Sus scrofa: one gene and its partners. The protein of the gene in region 1 purifies or fractionates together with the protein of each later gene. This does not show direct contact. Links are inferred from orthologs where the notes say so. Each region holds a gene or a part of one and is shown in the gene's direction. Other genes may lie near its edges. The genes, in order: RPAP2, POLR2G and RPRD1A.

Region 1 (3,651 bases):
GCATATGGTGGTTCCCAGGCTAGGGGTCGAATCAGAGCTGTAGCTGCTGGCCTATGCCATAGTCAAGCAATGCCAGATGCAAGCTGCATCTGTGACCTACACAACAACTCACAACGTCACCAGATCCTTTAACCCACTGAGCCAGGCCAGGGATTGAACCCATATCCTCATGGGTACTGGTCAGGTTCATTACCACCGAGCCACAATGGGATCTCCTGAGTAATGCTTTTTTTGAAATAAAATACACTATCAGTATTTTCCTTTGTTATAGCAATCACTATAGATTACTTTTTCCTCCTGCCTCAGAATTATTTCATGAATTTTATAATCTACAAAGATGCATAGCAGAAATTTGGGGGGGGTTTGTGAGTTTTTTTAAATAATAGCTAACTAACATTTTTTGAGTATTTACTGTGTGTTGAGAAGCACTTTTCTGAGTGCTTTTCCTTTATTTTCTCCTCTGTTTCTAACATCACACCTGTGAGATAGGTACTGTTCTGATCCCTGTGTTTTCAGATGAGACTGACGAGGCTTAGAGAGCTGATAAATTTTTCCAGTCATCTGATGGGAAATGTCCATATCATTTCACTGCAGGGGAAGTTCATCACACCTGCTCACTACAGTGACGTCGTGGACGAGCGTGCTATTATCAAACTCTGCGGCTATCCCTTATGTCAGAAGAAGCTAGGAATTGTAAGTAACTACTTTTTTTTTTTAAGATGTAGACTATTAATTTTTATATTTAGCAAAAAAAATTGTGTAGAAAGAGTAATAAATGAAACTGAGGTCATGAACGAATGACATGGGTTAGCCTAAGATATGCTCCATAGATGACTTAATCTTGGTAACTATGAAGTTCATGTTTATTACTTGAATTTTTTTGTAAGCTGTATTTTCTTTTCTTTAGGTACCAAAACAGAAATACAAAATTTCTACCAGAACCAATAAAGTCTATGATATTACTGAAAGAAAGGTAAGTTTAAAGGCATTTTCAATGTGGCAGTGGATATATAATATTACACTAAATGGGATTCTAAAAATAGGCCTTTAAATTTTCGCCTTGTAGAAAATAGCCATATTAAGAGTTTTTCATTTGTAAATAATTTCATTCAAAATGTTAAAAAAAAAAAAAAAGAAGAAAACTCTTTGCTTACACTTTAGTTGATATACAGACCTTTAAAAATTAAAGGTGCATATTGGCACAAATTCAGGCAAGTGAATCATAGAACAGAACAGAGGGCCAGAAACAGAGGCACTCCTTACATGGACACTGGGTATATGACATCAGGAGTATTTTAGATCAGTGGAGAGAGGATGAATTTTTAATTTTTTTATTTTTGGGGGTGAAGGAGAAAAAGGTAGCTTTATTGCTTTACCAGGTGAAGGGGGCCACAGCAGGCTAATGTAATGCCTTAAAGACTGTGCCCAAGGATGGATTTTTAAATACATAGTAGTGGCACAATTATCCATTCCAAAAAAGTGAAAACTCTATCTCTGTGTATATAACAAGCTCACTTTTAGGTAGATTAAGAACCCAAATGTAAAAGACAAACCTTCTCAAAGACATTATGGGAGAATATCTTTATCAACTTCAACTAGAGAGAATTTCTTAAATAAATAGAAAATTATAGACCATAGACTAGAAACAATTGAAAATGTTTGCTTATTAGAAGTTTCTAAAAAAGAGTGAAAAGGTAAGCTACAAATCAGGAGTTATACTTCTCACATATAACTGCCCACAGATTCATAACTAGAACACATCATCTATAAAAAAAGGTAAAAAACTTGATTAAAAAATTTTTATGGAAGGAATCTGAATGGTTCATGAATATATGAAGGATGCTCCAGCCTCATCAGTAGTTAGGAAAACAGCAAATAAAAACACACTGAGTTACATTTTTGCAGCCCCTAAAGTAGCAAAATTTTAGAAATCTGACGATATTAGTAACTCTTTATACTCTGGTCCAATAAGAATTGGTACAATCTTTTTGAGAAGCAGCTTGGCAGAGTCAAATAGGTGGTCAAGTTTACACGGTCTTTGTGGCCATTCTCCTCTTCTTCTGTGTCCACCCTTGTCCGTGTGCACTAACCTATACGTACATAGTGGGGAGGGTGTGAGTGTTCCTCGTAGGGTGAGCAAAATATGTACACACATAGCACGGACTGTTACATGGTCTTAAAAGGGAAGGAAATTTGGGCACAAGCTGCAACTGAATGATCTGAAAACATTATGCTAAGTAAGAGAAGGCAGCACAAAAGACAAAATACTATACGATTCTACTTATATGAGGTAATGTGTAGTCAAATTTGTAGAGACAGACAGTAGACTTGTGTTTGTCAGTCGGGGAGGTGAAAATGGGGAGTTATTGTTTAATATGTATAGAGTTTCACTCTTGCAAGATGAAGAGAGTTCTGGAGATGGATGATGGTGACAGTTGCACAACAGTAAGAAAGCACTTAATGCCTCTGAATTGTACAGGTAAAAATGCTTCGATGATAAATTTTGTGTATTATACCACGGTTTTTAATTTAAAAAATTATAATTAAAAAAAGGTTCATAGTAACATTGTAATGATAACTAAAAGTTAAAACTCAGCCTTAACAGTAACTAAAGGGGAGTTCCCTTCGTGGCGCAGTGGTTAACGAATCCGACTAGGAACCATGAGGTTGACGGTTCGGTCCCTGCTCTTGCTCAGTGGGTTGACGATCCGGCGTTGCCGTGAGCTGTGGTGTAGGTCGCAGACACGGCTCGGATCCCATGTTGCTGTGGCTCTGGTGTAGGCCGGTGGGTACAGCTCCGATTGGACCCCTAGCCTGGGAACCTCCATATGCCGCGGGAGCGGCCCAAGAAATAGCAAAAAAAAAAAAAAAAAAAAAACAGTAACTAAAGGGTGGAATACTTAGGCATTGACATATAATACACTGTATAAATGAATAAACTATACCTACACAAATGAATCTCAAAAACATAACATGGAAGAGAGGACTCTAGGAATATGTAACTATATGGTTCCATGTAGACAAAGTTTAAAGGTAAGCAGAACTGAATGATGTATTTTATAGGAAATGTATGTGGGTAGCAAAACTGAAGGAAAGCAAAGGAGTAACGCAGAACCCGTGATGATAGTGGTTGCCTCTGGGGAACTCGGAGAGAGATGCCATCAGGGAGGGACACGTAGAAGCCTGCAAGGTTCTCTACTTTCCTTCTTACCCTGGCTGGGAGATTCAGTGGATTTCGTTTTTTTTTCTCTGAACTACATATTTATATTTTATATTCTCTTGTGCATGTAAGGTGTGTTTCACAATAAGAAAAATAATTTGCTGGTTTTTAAATGTTCTTTTCAGTGTTTTTGCAGCAATTTTTGTTATAAAGCATCTAAGCTTTTCCAAGCACAAATTCCTAAAACTCCAGTGTGGGTTCGAGAAGAAGAAAGGTAATTTAAATCATTCCATATACGTTTATTCATGTATTCTAATAATTTCTTTCTGCCTTTTGAGATATGTAGAGAACAGGTCTGATTTTCTTTGGGATGCATTTACTGTATACATTTTAGTTGTGGGGAAATGGTTGTATCTCAAGCAGAACTATTAAGGATTTTACACTTAAAATCAGAAAATTAACTTACAGAAATGTTAGTTGTTTGCTATTTT
Region 2 (4,197 bases), on another chromosome or scaffold:
GTAGCCACAGGCCTACGCCAGAGCCACAGCAATGCGGGATCCGAGATCCGAGCCGCGTCTGCAACCTACACCACAGCTCACGGCAACGCCGGATCGTTAACCCACTGAGCAAGGGCAGGGACCGAACCCGCAACCTCATGGTTCCTAGTCGGATTCGTTAACCACTGCGCCACGACGGGAACTCCTGAACTTTTTTTTTTTTTAAGGGCTGCACCTGCAGCATATGGATGTCCCCAGGCCAGGGTCCAACTGAAGCTGTAGCTGTCGGCCTACACCACAGCCACAGCAACAACAGATCTGAGCGGCGTCTACAAGCTACACCACAGCTCACAGTAACGCCGGATCCTTACCCACTGATTGAGGACAGGGATCTAACCAGAGTCCTCATGGATACCAGTCAGATTTGTTACCACTGAGCCACGATGGAAACTCTCTATTATGATCAATTTTAAACATACAAAAGTAGAAGGAAACATATAAAAAGCCACAGTTTATCCATCATCTGGCTTCAACAATCATTAATACATCGCCTGGAGTTCCCCTCCTGGCTCAGCAGAAACGCATCTAAGCATCCATGAGGACTCAGGTTTGATCCCTGGTCTCGCTCAATGTGTTAAGAATCCGCATTGCCCTGAGCTGTGGTGTAGCTAGCAGAGGGGGCTCGGATGTGGGATTGCTGTGGCTGTGGCACACGCAGTTCCATGGCTACAGCTCTGATTCGACCTCTGGCCTGGAAACCTTCATATGCCACGGGTGCAGGCCTAAAAAGACCAAAAAAAAAAAAAAAAAAAAAAAAAAGTCATTGCCAAACTTGTTTCATCTGCACCGCTGCCTTTTTTTTTTTTTCAAATATTCATTTAATTTTAAGACAATTACATTTTAATAATGGCTGTGTTTAAGAATTAGCTTGCAAAATTCCTGAAATAGTAACAGTTGGCTTTTGCAGGGGCTCCAGCACACCACTGTCAGCAGGTAAGTTTGCTCTTGCAGGGAGGCTGGCTTCAAAAAGAGGGAAGGAGAGGGGTCAGGGCTGCTGTGGTCCTGGCCTCCGTTCTCTCCAGATAAGAACAGATAGTTATTATGCTTACTCTGTGAAAGCAGTCTTCAACTGTTTGCTGAATGAATATATTCTGCTAAAGCGCTTTATTTATGACGTCTCTCATTAATTAAATCCACCGTTTGAACTTCTTGTCTAGACCTGGCCTTGCTAATTTGTGAGCGTCCTGTGCTTTTACAGAGGGTGGACTGGACGAAGGGGGAGGAGCTTCGTGGATTTCCCCGCCCACGAAAACGGGGCCCAATCAAGTCCGCAGACGAGACGTGTTCCCGCCCACCTCTCTGGGGCAGGCCCGGAAGCGGGATTGGGGAGGTTGGTGTACTTCCGGTCCTGCCGGGGGTTTTGCTGCTGCTGCTGTCGCTGTTTTAAGCCTGGCTGCTCTCGGCCTGGCTGCTGTCCAGCCTCCTCCGGGAAGATGTTCTACCATGTGAGCAGGGCCCGGGGTGGCGGCAAGGGTAGGGTCGAGAGGAGGAGCGAAGCGGAAGGCCGGGAGTAGGGGGCCGCTTCTTGCCTGGTCTCCATCCCACGTTCTCCGCAGATCTCCCTGGAGCACGAGATCCTGCTGCATCCGCGCTACTTCGGCCCCAACCTTCTTAACACCGTGAAACAAAAGCTCTTCACTGAAGTGGAGGGGACCTGCACCGGCAAGTGAGTGTCCCGCTCTCCGTGCTGCCTGAGCAGTGCGCCCTCGGCGCCCGGTGCCTTCATCCCCTCCTCAAGTCCTGAAAGTTTGTGCTGTCTACCCTGGAGAGCCCTCTCACCCACCCAGACGGCCCAGGCAGTCATTTGCTTCCTGCTTCGGGTTCCCATGATGCCCTCTGCGAAGCTGGATAACGGGACTAACTTCCCTCAGCCAAGATTGGTCATTCATTTACTTTACAAACATTTCCAAATCTCCAGCTGTGTGCCAGGCTCTGTGTTGGGCCCTGGGAATAATGCAGTGAGAAAGACAGAAGCGGCCAGCTCGAGCTCATAGTCTCTTTGGATTTTGCTGGTTTTCTTTATCCCCCACGCCCAGGGACCTGTCATGGCACATTGGGCTTCACTAAAAGTGTGTTGAATGAGGGAGTGACCAGGATAAAGCAGATTGAGAGTTAGGGGGAGGAAGGAAGAGCACTGACGTTTGACCGTCTCTTTGCTCTGCACAGAGGGACCTCTCATCTGGTGATGTAGACAAACCAGGATGAGCAGGGCCATGGAGTACTTGGGGCTCCAGCATCAGAGCAACTGGGGGTGTCTTTTGAACATACAGGTTCCTGAGCCTCATGTCATCCTTACAGCATCCCCATATCTCTGGGGACAGGCCTGGGGATATGCATTTCATATATATATATGTATGTTTTTTTTTTTTTTTTTTCTTCTTTTGCTGCACCCTTGGCATGTGGAAGTACCTGGGCTCAGTAGGTTAAGTATCTGGCATTGTCATTGTTGTGGCGTGGGTTCTATGCTTGGCCTGGGAATTTCTGAATGCCACAGGCCAAATAAATTTTAAAAAGAGATTGAGGTCTCTTGGCTCAAGGACTGCAGCCCTTTTGGACACTTATTGTGAACTTATGAGATCAGCATTTGGCTTTGTAGATGCTGGTCATTGCCCTGTCTTCTCTCTTGATCATTAAGTTCTCTGGGACCAGGAGTGCCATCTACTTGCCCTTTGTGATGCCCTTTAACCCCCAGGCTCGGTGACTCTTGTGGCAGATTTTTTTTTGTCTTTTTTTGGGGGGCTGCACCTGTGTCATAGGAGGTTCGCAGGCTGGGGAGGAATCGGCACTGTAGCGGCTGGCCTATGTCACAGCCACAGCAGCGCCGGATTTGAGCCACATCTGCAACCTACACCACAGCTCACAGCAATGCCGGCGTCCTGAACCCACTGAGTGAGGCCAGGGATTGAACCTGTGTCCTCATGGATACCAGTTAGATTCGTTTCTGCTGAGCCACAACCAGAACTCCTCTTGTGGCAGATGGTTTTAGAGGCTCTTCCACACCTTTCTCTTTCTCATCCTCCCTGCAGGTATGGCTTTGTAATTGCTGTCACCACCATTGACAATATCGGTGCTGGTGTGATCCAGCCAGGCCGAGGCTTTGTCCTTTATCCAGTTAAGTACAAGGCCATCGTTTTCCGGCCCTTTAAAGGGGAGGTCGTGGATGCTGTTGTCACTCAAGTCAACAAGGTAAGTCCATCCACAGGGCAGGTAATGGGAAGTCCTGAGAAAATCTGGGATGGGCCCCAACTCTTACTTGCTAACTCTGTGTCTTTGGCCAAATCACCTCTTTGTGCTTCAGGTGTCCTTACCTGCCAGATGGCATGGGAATCTTGTCCTGCCTCACTCAGGCAGGTGTAAAATGTAAGTCAACATTAAGAGTCAAAAGAGCAGTAGCTTCCATTGATTGAATAGATCCTGTGCACCAGGTGAAGTGCAAAGCCTCACAATGACTGTGAGGCGAGTGCTTTTACCTCCGGACTGAAGCTTGGAGAAGACTGCTGGCCAAGGTCATGTGGCCGACAAGTGTTCAGATTCCAGACAGACAGGTTCGAGGCCTCAGGTGTTGACTACTACACTCTGTTAACATAAAGTGAAAGTTTGAAAAAGGAGAGATGGGGGAAAAAATATAATTGTAATGTATACATGTAAGGATAACCTGACCCCCTTGCTGTACAGTGGGAAAATAAAAAAAAAAAAAAGAAAAAGGAGAGAAAAATGAAAACAAATGCCAAATTTCAGAGTGGTTTCAAAACATGAAGACTATTATTAGGATGCAGATAAAGACGGGATGCTCAGCAGACAATGGGGACAAAAGAAAAAACTAGGTCATTCATTTCCCTTTTAGGTCGGACTCTTCACAGAAATTGGGCCCATGTCCTGCTTCATCTCTCGACATGTAAGTCCAGGCGGGCTAGGTGGGGCTAAGGAGGAGACATTCATTCCTGACCGTCTCTTTCTTTTTTGGGCTGCACCTGGAGCACGTGGAAGTTTCCAGGTCAAGGATTGAATTGGAGCCACAGCTGTGGCAATGCTGGACCCTTAATCCATTGTGCTGGGCTGGGGATTGAACCTGCATCCCAGCAGAGACTTGAGCTGCTGCAGAGATAATCCTGGATCCTTAACCCACTGCACCACAGTGGGAACTCCCCGTGACCATCT
Region 3 (3,651 bases), on another chromosome or scaffold:
TTTAAATGCCTAATATGTCCTTTTGCTAAAACTTGCTTTAAGACATTAAAATAAAAAACAATATATTTCTTTGACGTTTTCGTTTGAAAAAGACTTACCTATAATGGCATTTGTAAATGTGTTGAATACTTGCTGTACTCAAGTATGAAAAATTTTTTGGCTAAGGTGGGCGTTTCAAGTACGTTTTCCTTAAGTGACCAGAAGCAACTGCCATATTGGAATAAAATTCACTAAGAATGAATGAATCTGTTATATTGAAAACTTCTGTGCTTATAAAACTATCAATCTTCCAACTAATCCTGCTGGTAAAACTTAGTACTATAATAATTTTAAGGTTTTCTAGTGTGTGGGTACGTATAACATTTTAAAATGCTTTGGAAATATGGAATATTTAAGATAATCACAAACCTGTTGAAAATTTTGCTACAGAAAAACGCTGAAGGTAGAGGTCTGTATATTTCCAAACATTATATGCAAGTATATGGTAGATTACTGGATAAATATTATTGAGGTAGGTGATAATTTAGATTTATAATTCAATTATAAATTTAGTTATAATTTTAATAGTTATAAAATTATGATCTAAATTATAGAATTCAGGGTTGAATGATGATCTATGTTGAATGATTTAAGGATGAAAATATACTCACCACATGCCCTGCAGGTGTAATCACAGTAGATGCATTTTTAAAAATTTCAGTGTGAAACACTGCTATACATTGCTTTCTTAAACTAATATTATTTACCCTTCAACTTAGATGCTGTCTTTTACCATCTTTTCAGGTGCTGCTGTTTTTTAAGAGTTGAGTCCTAGGCCTTCTTCTGGTGTCATATTCTTTACTAGCCCTCGGGGTGATACATACATACATTACATGCAATCAGTTTAATAAAAATAAAAATTGACAGTCTTACATTCCAGTCCAGATATTTTTCCATTGTTTTAGTCCTGTATATCCAGTTGCCTATTGAATTTCTTTCTTCTTTTTTTTGCCACACCCATGGCATGTGGGAGTTCCTGGGCCAGAGATCTAACCCAAGCCACAATTACGACCTGCACCACAGCTATGGCAACACTGGATCCTTAACCTGCCATGCCATAAGAGAACTTCCGCCTATCGAATTTCTAGTTGGATGCCTCCAGCCATCTCAGACTCACTGTTATTGAACTCATGTCCTTCCTCCCTGACAGACTTGGTCCTCCTCTGGGTTCACTCTCTTGATGAATGGCAGCTCCATCTCTCTGGATGCCCCTTTGAGAAATCAGGTGTTATCTTGAACTCTGTGTGATGTAGTGATTTGTAATATATCACACTGTCCTTTCTTCTTCGCTCCCCTTATCCCATGTGTACATATGGTTCCCTCAGTTCTTTAGAGTTCTTTCCATTCCAGTTACCATAATGGCATTTCTCTGTTATTGCAGTAGCCTGCAAATCCATGTAGGAAACTGTAGCCAGAGTTGCAGGCTGTTCATAATACTCTCTTGCCTTTGAGTTGTTCTCAGGTCCTGAGTAAGACTTCAGGTGTTCCTTCATGGCCTAGTCTACTTCTTGGGATTCCCCCATTTTTCCCCCATGCATATATATAGTCTACACAGTTTAAGCTAATCAAACCTCTTTTAGTCCTTTCTGCCTTAGGCTTTTTTTTTTTTTTAAATATATAATGCCCCTTCCTAGAGTTTAATAAAAGATTTATTGACTACCTACTATGTAGTGAACAAGGCAAAGTTCTCTTCTAGTGGAGCCTACGTTTTCAGTGGATGACAAAGGTAATAACTAGATAAACAAGTAAATACATCTTACAGTGTCAAAAGATAAGTACTGTGAAGAAACATAAAGCAAGGAAGGAACTAGAGAGTATGATGATAGTCAGTTATTTCATGAGTAAAGATGGACTGTTTGGGGGAGGTGGTATTTGAACAGAGGGATGAAAAGAGCCATTTGACTATCTGGGAGGAAAGGATCCTAGGTAGAGAAAACAGTGGCAGAAACAGTGAGAGAGCCACATGCTGTAATGTTTGAGAATCAGTAGGGAGAATTGTATTTAGAAAATGTGGGCAGAAAGGTAGCTAGGAAACAACATGTCCACTTTGTGGCCCAGGTTAAGGATTTCACTTTTATTTTTGATATGATTGGTGGTTCTTAGAGGATTGAGAGTATAATCTAATTTACATTAGTGGGAAATAGAATGAAAGAGTAGAGCCTGCAAGACCAATAAGAAGACTGTTATAGAAATCCAGGCAAGAGATAATAGTGGCTCAGTCTACAGTGGTGGTGGTGATGAAGGCAGTGGGAAGTGGTTGGAAATAGCCTGTTTCCCACTTCTCTGTATATCCAGTCCTGAGAACTCAGATTAAATGTATCATTTCCTCAGATACCCTTCCTGATCGCTTTTGAATTGAACCAAATCTCTGTTATGCCTGTGTTTAACACCCAGTTCTCTTTTGTGGCACTTAACAGCTGCCATAAAGCTCCGTTTGTATCACTAGTTATCAGAGGTAGTACTTTGATCAATAAATATTTGTTACATAAGTTTAAAAATCACCCATTAGAAATCTTTCTCTCTCTTTTTTTTTTTTTTTTTTTTTTTTTGTCTTTTTGTCTTTTCTAGGGCCACACCCATGGCATATGGAGGTTCCCAGGCTAGGAGTCCAATTGGAGCTATAGCTTCCAGCCTATCCCAGAGCCACAGCAATGCGGGATCCAAGCCGAGTCTGTGACCTACACCACTGCTCACGGCAACGCCGGATCCTTGGATCCTTAATCCATTGAGCGAGGCCAGGGATCGAACCCATAACCTCATGGTTCCTAGTCCGATTCATTTCTGCTGTGCCATGACGGGAACTCCAGAAATCTTTCTTATCTGCATGTGCAGCCCCATTAGGTTAGGGGTTTCTTGATAACCCCTAGTCACCTCTACTATTTTTTGGTAATTTCTTTGTTTAATAATGTCTCTCTAAGCTCTTTAAGGAAAGTGGGGAGTATGTCTGTCTTGGTCACTTCACCCCTGAACTGCTGATCACATTGTGGTACTCAGCAAACGTTGGTCAACTTTTTTCAGGGAATGAGTGCCATTGTATTTAAAATCACCATTATTTTTGCAGTAGCACTATGCACTTTTACTGTTAATATGTGTATCTTTTCTTTAGTGAAACTGATGAAAGTTGTAAGAAGCACCTTGGAAGAGTGTTATCTATTTGGGAAGAAAGGTCTGTTTATGAAAATGATGTATTAGAACAACTTAAGCAAGCTCTTTGTAAGTATATAATCTTTTATCATTGTCTCTTCATTAAAATGTATTCTCTCCTTAAAACTTTTTCAATTTTTTCAATTCAGATGGTGATAAGAAGCCTAGGAAGCGAACTTATGAACAGATACAGGTGGATGAGAATGAGAACTGTTCCTCTCTAGGATCTCCAAGTGAACCACCACAGGTAGCAGTTTTACTCTGTAAAAGGAGTTACATTACTAGTACCTCATGTACTCACGAAGCTTTATTAATTTCAGTGTTTTACTTCTATATATTGACTTTTATTATAGTTCTGAGTACCAGAAAGAAGCTGTATGAATAAGTCTTACTTTCTGATTAATAAATTGCTCTAGTTTAATGTAGTATGTTGTATATTATATATCAGGCAGTCTTATTTTGTGTAGA

Evidence for each region.
Region 2: the proteins of RPAP2 (region 1) and POLR2G purify together in Homo sapiens (affinity purification with mass spectrometry; 5 studies listed by BioGRID and IntAct, counting the BioPlex papers as one, with this or other methods). This does not show direct contact. The link is inferred for Sus scrofa from reciprocal best matches to the Homo sapiens genes RPAP2 and POLR2G.
Region 3: the proteins of RPAP2 (region 1) and RPRD1A purify together in Homo sapiens (affinity purification with mass spectrometry; 3 studies listed by BioGRID and IntAct, with this or other methods). This does not show direct contact. The link is inferred for Sus scrofa from reciprocal best matches to the Homo sapiens genes RPAP2 and RPRD1A.

Annotation. Positions count from the first base shown.
Region 1 is NC_010446.5:124,756,869-124,760,519, reverse strand, and holds part of RPAP2 (putative RNA polymerase II subunit B1 CTD phosphatase RPAP2), read left to right. Parts: intron 1-594; coding exon 595-693; intron 694-907; coding exon 908-973; intron 974-3,345; coding exon 3,346-3,434; intron 3,435-3,651.
Region 2 is NC_010444.4:9,005,767-9,009,963, reverse strand, and holds the start of POLR2G (DNA-directed RNA polymerase II subunit RPB7), read left to right. Parts: upstream 1-1,332; 5' UTR 1,333-1,472; coding exon 1,473-1,484; intron 1,485-1,595; coding exon 1,596-1,705; intron 1,706-3,065; coding exon 3,066-3,225; intron 3,226-3,883; coding exon 3,884-3,934; intron 3,935-4,197. UniProt on the Homo sapiens protein: Core component of RNA polymerase II (Pol II), a DNA-dependent RNA polymerase which synthesizes mRNA precursors and many functional non-coding RNAs using the four ribonucleoside triphosphates as substrates.
Region 3 is NC_010448.4:119,799,432-119,803,082, reverse strand, and holds part of RPRD1A (regulation of nuclear pre-mRNA domain-containing protein 1A), read left to right. Parts: intron 1-3,145; coding exon 3,146-3,252; intron 3,253-3,332; coding exon 3,333-3,430; intron 3,431-3,651. UniProt on the Homo sapiens protein: Interacts with phosphorylated C-terminal heptapeptide repeat domain (CTD) of the largest RNA polymerase II subunit POLR2A, and participates in dephosphorylation of the CTD by RPAP2.